Xenopus tropicalis: one gene and its partner. The protein of the gene in region 2 interacts with the protein of the main gene of each other region in a pairwise test. Links are inferred from orthologs where the notes say so. Each region holds a gene or a part of one and is shown on either strand. Other genes may lie near its edges.

Region 1 (4,543 bases), on a different chromosome or scaffold from region 2:
TAGCCATTTAGTCTGTCTGCTTCGGTATCAGGCATGTGTCTAGGAAGCAGCTTATTAAGACCAACACTTGTACCCTTATGGCTCATACACATAACTGAATTATTCATTCTTATAAGATGCATTTTTAATGCTTTTTGAATGCAAATTTAATCTCAGCTTTACTCACAAGTGTTCAAACGTTTTCACTCTTTTGGGTTCTTAAGCTTTTTTTTTTTTTTTTTTTATAAACCCAGCATGCGCAATTTTCTACTGTTTGATGATTGTTCTAATTACACTTGCTTCTGTGAAAAACTGCAAAATGCATAAAAACAAGGCATATAAGTCCATTGTGGTTACATTTGTGGTTATATGTGCGTATATTGTGTTTAAAATTGAAAAAACATATACACACTTGGTGGGTACTATGTTGCGTAAGAAAGCACTGATTGTTGTTGTTGCAAAAGTTTTCAGGTCTCAGAGCTACAAGTGTTTGTGGCAGGAGAATTAAAAAATATGCTGTCATTTCTTCATGATGTTTTGTGTATGTGCTCAATGACAGACAGCTCAAATCAATACCTTTTGGGAAATTGTATAAAGCTATGGGTGTAATTAAGTGCTGCATATCGTAATCCAGTCATAATTACAATCAAAATCATGTAAAAATGCTCTGCAGTGTTGTAATTAAATCATTCACAAATCAATGGAAACCTCTTAATACATTCTTTTCATTACATATTTCAAAGAAAAAATCATTTTAAAAACACAGTATGAAAAACCATGGAAATGTGCATCAAATATAACATAATATATTCTTTGCTACATGCAGTGTTAGCAAGGGTTATACTCCAGCTGCCAGAAAACTTGATAAAGGCTTTTCAGACTGCTTCTGCACATATACTTTTATTTTTTTAAACTCCTTGCTAGTTATTGAATGAATGCAGTGAAAAAAGTATGTATATATAATATATTGTCATATATGCTTCTTTGTTATACCCTAGTCACAATGTTTCTGTGTAGATCTTCAGCTATGGTGTAATGCAGCGTTTTTCAACCACTGTTCCGCGGCACACTAGTGTGCCGCGAGATGTTGCCTGGTGTGCCGTAGGCAGGGCACCAATGTACTAGGGGGGCACTGCTGCTGGGCACCAATGTACTAGGGGGGCACTGCTCTTGGCACCAATGTACTAGGGGGGCACTGCTGCTGGGCACCAATGTACTAGGGGGGCACTGCTCTTGGCACCAATGTACTAGGGGGGCACCGCTGCTGGGCACAGAGTTAAATTTTTTAACATTTTCTAATGGTGGTGTGCCTCGTGATTTTTTTCATGAAACAAGTGTGCCTTTGCCCAAAAAAGGTTGAAATACACTGGTGTAATGAAAATTAGTTGGTAGCTACATATGAATTGTCTGCTACAATATGCTACTCTAAAATAACCAGGCAACCTAAAAATGTTATAATTTTCATGAGTTCTCTGTACTACATTTTTACCCGAAATAACCATTTTTGAGTTATATGTAAACATGCAAAGAGAACAGTCACATCTAAGATCTTTTGAAATACATGCACAAAAATACTTCTCTGGGATTCATCCTTAGTATAGGAACTACAGTTATACAGTCATTTTTGTGAGGGAAAAATCTATTTTACAGTCACACAAGATATACAGTAATAACATTAGGTGCATTTTGGGGAATATGACTGTTTCACAATGCTGATTTGAAGCCAAGACTGACATTGTGCTTTAAAAAAAGATGTTGAAAGCTGCAAGATTTTCACAGAGAGCTGTTAAGAACAATTTCATCTGATTAAATGTGTCTGTTGTTACACATAATAGTGCGCAAACATGATTGCAAATGACAGCAGTGAAGGGCAAATATTTTAGCAGCATAAAACCATTTATTTACAGTGAATATGTTCTAAAAACCTGTTAGACTTCCTTTTACACAAAGAGCAGGATTTTCTGCAGTCAGGAGTTAATTGTCATTTTGGGTGACATGTACATACCGTTGGCTCACATGTATTCATGTGCAGCACAGCTCTTTGCTTGCTCACGAGTCAGGTACATGATGTGAAGCCAAGGAGCTGCTGCTTAATGAGGCTTGGCTGGATCCTCCGCTGCCTTTTGTTTAGTGAAAAAGTAATTACTTGATAAAATGAAGTGCATCGCTCTGAACAATTGACCCTTTCGAACAATCCAGGCTAGTCAGGAGTCTGAATCCACACTTCAGTGCCATCATAATGGCTTCGAACTTAAGAGTTTCCAGCGTGCAAACAAAGGTGTTGTCTTCCTTCAGTACGAGACGTGTCCCATTTTCTGATTTGATGAAATATTTGAATTGAATAACGTTCGAGGAAACGCAGAATTCCTCTGGAAATCCATCCAGCCTGCTTTTGGAAACCAGCACAATGCGAGCTTTTATTTTGGAGATGAAATCAGGGGCATTGCAGAAGATCCGAAGACCCTGAGACCGATCGTGGTGATCTGTTATTTCCAAAAAAGTGGTTTCCCGTGCAGCCTGCTGCTCTTTCTCCCATCTAGCTTTCACAGCTGCATTAAGTGCCTTCAGCTTGAAAAAATCTGCTTCATGTGCCAAAAGATGGTTTTCTTTGAAACCCTCTGGTAACAAGAGTTCCCCATTTCGTAAAAAGTTCAGAACATGCCTAAATAGTAGCCCGTCTCTGTCTATGAAGTAATGTCCGTCTGCATCAATTGGGCAGAAAATTTTCCTATTGACCACACCTTCAAGGTAAGAGTCAGGGTACTTGGAGAGAGTCTGTTTTTGTGTGATGTACAGATAGCCACCAACGTTGAGAGTGACAAGGGATGTTTTACAGTTTGTACTCGGGTCTCCATCTTCTGAATTGTGACATTTATCATCACAGTCTTTGTCTGTTCTGTTGATTCTGCGTTCCATACTGATCAGCTGCGTGCTACAATAGCAGTCTGGCCTTGCTTCTTGTTTGGTTGTAAAGAGAAATAAAAAAAAAAAAGAACCCTATTCAGCCCTGCCACGATGATGGAATGAAAATGCTGCCAGCATTGCATGAGTTGTCAGCTTGGTTTTGCAGTAGGTGGCGTATGAGCTATGCAAACAGCAAGATATCACCAATACAGCTGGGAAAAATGCGATTTGCATTTAACTGTGTCAGGGCAAAATCTTAACTGTGAACACTTCTCTGATAATTCATCTGTTAGTTCTAGACATATACAAAAAGGGAAATCTAAAATGGCCATGCAGTTCTATTAATAACTTTGTACCAATACTAAATAGTTATTATGCAGGTGATAGTACCATTAAAATAAAGGAATTTTGTGAATAAATATAAAACTGTGGTCAATATATATTTTTTTTTTTAAGTCTCAAAATCTGGCTGCATTTTTTTAAATGTCTGATCGAAACACAGTGAGCTGTATTATCCCATCATTATTTGCTAAACATTACACTGTTTGAGCTTCTGGCAGTGAAACTATTAATCAGGAAAGCCTTGGCCCTTGTGCACACAGTGGGGACCTGTTATCCAAAGGCTTGCAACCTGAGGTTTTCCAGATAAGGGGTGTTTCTGTAATTTGGATCTCCATGCTACTAAAAAAAAAATGTAAACATTAAATAAACCCAATAGGATTGTTTTGCCTCCAGTAAGGATTAATTACATCTCAGCTGGTATCAAGTATAAGGTACTGTTTTATTATTACAGAGAAATCATTTGTAAAAAATTTTGTTTAAAATAGAGTGAATGGGAGATGGGCTTCCTGTATTTCAAAGCTTTTTGGATAACAGGTTTCCCGATAATGGATCCCATACCTATAGTAGTTTACCAAACTGGCACATAAGAATATTAATTGAGAATATTAATAAATAGGTTTAACATCTACTAACAAATGTTGTCATTACCAAACCTGACTAGGTTCAAGGTTGATAATGAGTGTGTCTGTAATGCATGCATACATATCTGTATATGTACCCTTCAAGGTAAACCCACAGGAAGAATTGCTGAGCTGTTTGTCTGCTGCATTTAGCACTGGAAAATATGTATAGTCATGGCACGCATTTCATATGAAATATCCAACCATCATGTTGGATAATACTTTCCTGTAATTTTACTGTAATTGCAGCAAGTTGCCTCTATACATAACCTGTTCAAGGGGAGCAGTATTAATAATTTGTTTGATTTGAACCAGTTATTATGTTACTACAAAATTGCTCCCAACCGTGTGACACTGTTATTGGCTTGTTGTTGTAATGTGCAGTCATGGCCAAATATTTAGCCTCGGTCTCTGTTTTATGTACAGGCACATTCAGAACAATTAGCTGGTGCTATTTTCATTACTAGCTGCCATTTATTATGGCTATCTGCCTGCATGGTAATTAGTGCAGAACACATATGGAGCTCAAAATGACACTGATGGAGTTCAGTAAGGTCGATTTTTGATCAAATGCTCCAATTGATTCCAGTTTGGGTGGTTTCCTTGAACAAAGGATCAAATAGGAAAGTCAGCTGTCTTTGTGACATGTTTGAGGCATTGCAGATTTAAATGAAACATAACCTACATTTTTACAGACC
Region 2 (4,257 bases):
TCCCCCTACAAACAGATATTGTAGATATTATGTAATAGATAATGTCCCTACTTGTCACCTGTCCAGTTCTGGGAACACACCAGTACCGGTATGGGATCCGTTATCCGGAAACCCATTATCCAGAAAGCTCCTAATTATAGAAAGCCTGTCTCCCATAGACTCCATTTTAATAAAATAATTCAGATTTTTTAAACCAATTAAATTTTTCTCTGTAATAATAAAACAGTACCTGTACTTGATCCCAACTAAGATATAATTACCCCTTATTGGGGGCAGAACAGCCCTATTGGGTTTATTTAATGGTTAAATGATTCCCTTTTCTCTGTAATAATAAAACAGTACCTGTACTTGATCCCAACTAAGATATAATTACCCCTTATTGGGGCAGAACAGCCCTATTGGGTTTATTTCATGGTTAAATGATTCCCTTTTCTCTGTAATAATAAAACAGTACCTGTACTTGATCCCAACTAAGATATAATTACCCCTTATTGGGGCAGAACAGCCCTATTGGGTTTATTTCATGGTTAAATGATTCCCTTTTCTCTGTAATAATAAAACAGTACCTGTACTTGATCCCAACTAAGATATAATTACCCCTTATTGGGGCAGAACAGCCCTATTGGGTTTATTTAATGGTTAAATGATTCCCTTTTCTCTGTAATAATAAAACAGTACCTGTACTTGATCCCAACTAAGATATAATTACCCCTTTTTGGGGCAGAACAGCCCTATTGGGTTTATTTAATGGTTAAATGATTCCCTTTTCTCTGTAATAATAAAACAGTACCTGTACTTGATCCCAACTAAGATATAATTACCCCTTATTGGATGCAAAACAATCCTATTGGGTTTATTAATATTTTACGGATTTTTTAGTAGACTTAAGGTATGGAGATCCAAAATACGGAAAGACCCCTTATCCGGAATACCCTTGGTCCCGAGCATTCTGGATAATGGGTCCTAAACTACCACTCATAAAAGCCCTTAGCAGCCATATTTGCTAGGAGACCATCCAGGTTGGAATTTTTCCCTTCCCTGCTAGTCTGACCCTGGGAACTGCCCATCGTTGCTGCTGAGTGCCAGCCCTGTGGAGTTGGGTTAAGTTTCCCTTTCATATACAGCAGCACATTGTGCCATATACAGGGGGTCCTGTGAGTGCAATACAGAGAGAGCGCAGACCCACAGGCAAGACCCAGTGAAACAGACAGTTGGGTGCAGGCACAGCACAGGCAGTTGCAGCTCTGAGGGGGCGGAGCTACAGACTGTTTACTGACACCATGGAGACTGGATGCTGCTGCTGTGTGTAACCTGGAGACTGGGAGCTGTGTGGGGAGACAGTGAAGGGACAGACAGGCTTTAGGGATACAGGGAGACGGGGGGAGAGTCCCACACAGGGGAACACAGGGAGCCCAACGGAAAGGCAGAGAGAGAGTGTGGGCCCCCCCAGCAGGGACCAGTTTAAGCAGAAAGTTTGAGGGGAGCTCCCCCCATTTACTGGGCGCCATGGCTTCTTATCCCGTGCACGGACTGCCCTTCCTGCCTGGGAACACCTACAGGGACCCCACGGTAAGTACCAGTGTCTTCCCATGCTGCACCTGGGCGGCTTTGGGAGTGTAGAGCTGTATTTGTTGGCAACATGGTGATGTAAAGTATTGGAGCGATTTGTATAATAGATTTGTATAATAAGTTTTATCCTTATCTGGGTCTGTTTTGCCCTCTCTGATCCAGTTGTACCATGTGACATACAAACAGAATGGAGGGTAAGTGGGTGGGGCCTGTAACAAGGGGTTCCTCATATCTATGGTGTTTGTATACTGTACCTACATGATGATCCAGTCTTTGGAACCGTAATCATCAGAACCTTGTGCCGATTCTGTTCCAGAAAAGCGCATTTCACCGCTCCCAGACCTTAACCTACAAAAACGGTTACAGTCGACCCATTCTCCCCACTGTCGGCATTGGACGGGAACCCATCACAGCCAACCAGCTGTCCCAAGCCGAACTAGATGAGCTGGCCAACAAAAGGCCAACACTGACCTATGGGCGTGCCAAGCCGGCCCCACCATCAGATTTCATCCCTTCCTATGTGGCCTTTGATAAAAAGGTAAGGTGTAATAATGGTAAGTTCCCATAAAGCAGTGAAGAACCACTTTAAGCACCATCCAGAGGGTCATGGCCCTTATTTATTTTATAAGCAAATGCAATAACCAGGGCCCCAAATCCCCCCCTAACTGGCCTTCAGGCTGGGCCTCCTTAGCCCATAACAAGGTTACAGATATATAGAAACATTGGGGTAACAGTCACCCTGCTATAGTTCCAGGGGTACCCAGGGCACAAATAAGCACTCACCCCAAATCCCCCCTAACTGGCCTTCAGGCTGGGCCCCCTTAGCCCATAACAAGGTTACAGATATATAGAAACATTGGGGTAACAGTCACCCCGCTATAGTTCCAGGGGTACCCAGGGCACAAATAAGCACTCACCCCAAATCCCCCCTAACTGGCCTTCAGGCTGGGCCCCCTTAGCCCATAACAAGGTTACAGATATATAGAAACATTGGGGTAACAGTCACCCTGCTATAGTTCCAGGGGTACCCAGGGCACAAATAAGCACTCACCCCAAATCCCCCCCTAACTGGCCTTCAGGCTGGGCCCCCTTAGCCCATAACAAGGTTACAGATATATAGAAACATTGGGGTAACAGTCACCCCGCTATAGTTCCAGGGGTACCCAGGGCACAAATAAGCACTCACCCCAAATCCCCCCCTAACTGGCCTTCAGGCTGGGCCCCCTTAGCTCATAACAAGGTTACAGATATATAGAAACATTGGGGTAACAGTCACCCTGCTATAGTTCCCGGGGTACCCAGGGCACAAATAAGCACTCACCCCAAATCCCCCCTAACTGGCCTTCAGGCTGGGCCCCCTTAGCTCATAACAAGGTTACAGATATATAGAAACATTGGGGTAACAGTCACCCCGCTATAGTTCCAGGGGTACCCAGGGCACAAATAAGCACTCACCCCAAATCCCCCCCTAACTGGCCTTCAGGCTGGGCCCCCTTAGCCCATAACAAGGTTACAGATATATAGAAACATTGGGGTAACAGTCACCCTGCTATAGTTCCAGGGGTACCCAGGGCACAAATAAGCACTCACCCCAAATCCCCCCCTAACTGGCCTTCAGGCTGGGCCCCCTTAGCCCATAACAAGGTTACAGATATATAGAAACATTGGGGTAACAGTCACCCCGCTATAGTTCCAGGGGTACCCAGGGCACAAATAAGCACTCACCCCAAATCCCCCCCTAACTGGCCTTCAGGCTGGGCCCCCTTAGCTCATAACAAGGTTACAGATATATAGAAACATTGGGGTAACAGTCACCCTGCTATAGTTCCCGGGGTACCCAGGGCACAAATAAGCACTCACCCCAAATCCCCCCTAACTGGCCTTCAGGCTGGGCCCCCTTAGCTCATAACAAGGTTACAGATATATAGAAACATTGGGGTAACAGTCACCCCGCTATAGTTCCAGGGGTACCCAGGGCACAAATAAGCACTCACCCCAAATCCCCCCCTAACTGGCCTTCAGGCTGGGCCCCCTTAGCCCATAACAAGGTTACAGATATATAGAAACATTGGGGTAACAGTCACCCTGCTATAGTTCCAGGGGTACCCAGGGCACAAATAAGCACTCACCCCAAATCCCCCCCTAACTGGCCTTCAGGCTGGGCCCCCTTAGCCCATAACAAGGTTACAGATATATAGAAACATTGGGGTAACAGTCACCCTGCTATAGTTCCCGGGGTACCCAGGGCACAAATAAGCACTCCCCCCAAATCCCCCCCTAACTGGCCTTCAGGCTGGGCCCCCTTAGCCCATAACAAGGTTACAGATATATAGAAACATTGGGGTAACAGTCACCCCGCTATAGTTCCAGGGGTACCCAGGGCACAAATAAGCACTCACCCCAAATCCCCCCCTAACTGGCCTTCAGGCTGGGCCCCCTTAGCCCATAACAAGGTTACAGATATATAGAAACATTGGGGTAACAGTCACCCCGCTATAGTTCCAGGGGTACCCAGGGCACAAATAAGCACTCACCCCAAATCCCCCCCTAACTGGCCTTCAGGCTGGGCCCCCTTAGCCCATAACAAGGACAGAAATAGTGGGGGGCAGAAGGGATGTGAAGCGCTAAAGGTTCTAAACCCCTAGGTTACAGAAGAGCAATTGCATTATTTCCCCTGTTGGACCAGCG

What was found.
Region 1: the proteins of efhc1 (region 2) and kctd4 interact in binary tests that used the Homo sapiens proteins (3 or more experiments, as listed by UniProt). The two-hybrid records come from large-scale screens. The link is inferred for Xenopus tropicalis from reciprocal best matches to the Homo sapiens genes EFHC1 and KCTD4.

The regions. Positions count from the first base shown.
Region 1 is NC_030678.2:133,874,968-133,879,510, forward strand, and holds kctd4 (BTB/POZ domain-containing protein KCTD4), read right to left. Parts: upstream 3,048-4,543; 5' UTR 2,896-3,047; coding exon 2,122-2,895; 3' UTR 1,357-2,121; intron 1,018-1,356; 3' UTR 206-1,017; downstream 1-205.
Region 2 is NC_030681.2:150,467,389-150,471,645, forward strand, and holds the start of efhc1 (EF-hand domain-containing protein 1), read left to right. Parts: upstream 1-1,320; 5' UTR 1,321-1,506; coding exon 1,507-1,569; intron 1,570-1,885; coding exon 1,886-2,107; intron 2,108-4,257. UniProt on the Homo sapiens protein: Microtubule inner protein (MIP) part of the dynein-decorated doublet microtubules (DMTs) in cilia axoneme, which is required for motile cilia beating.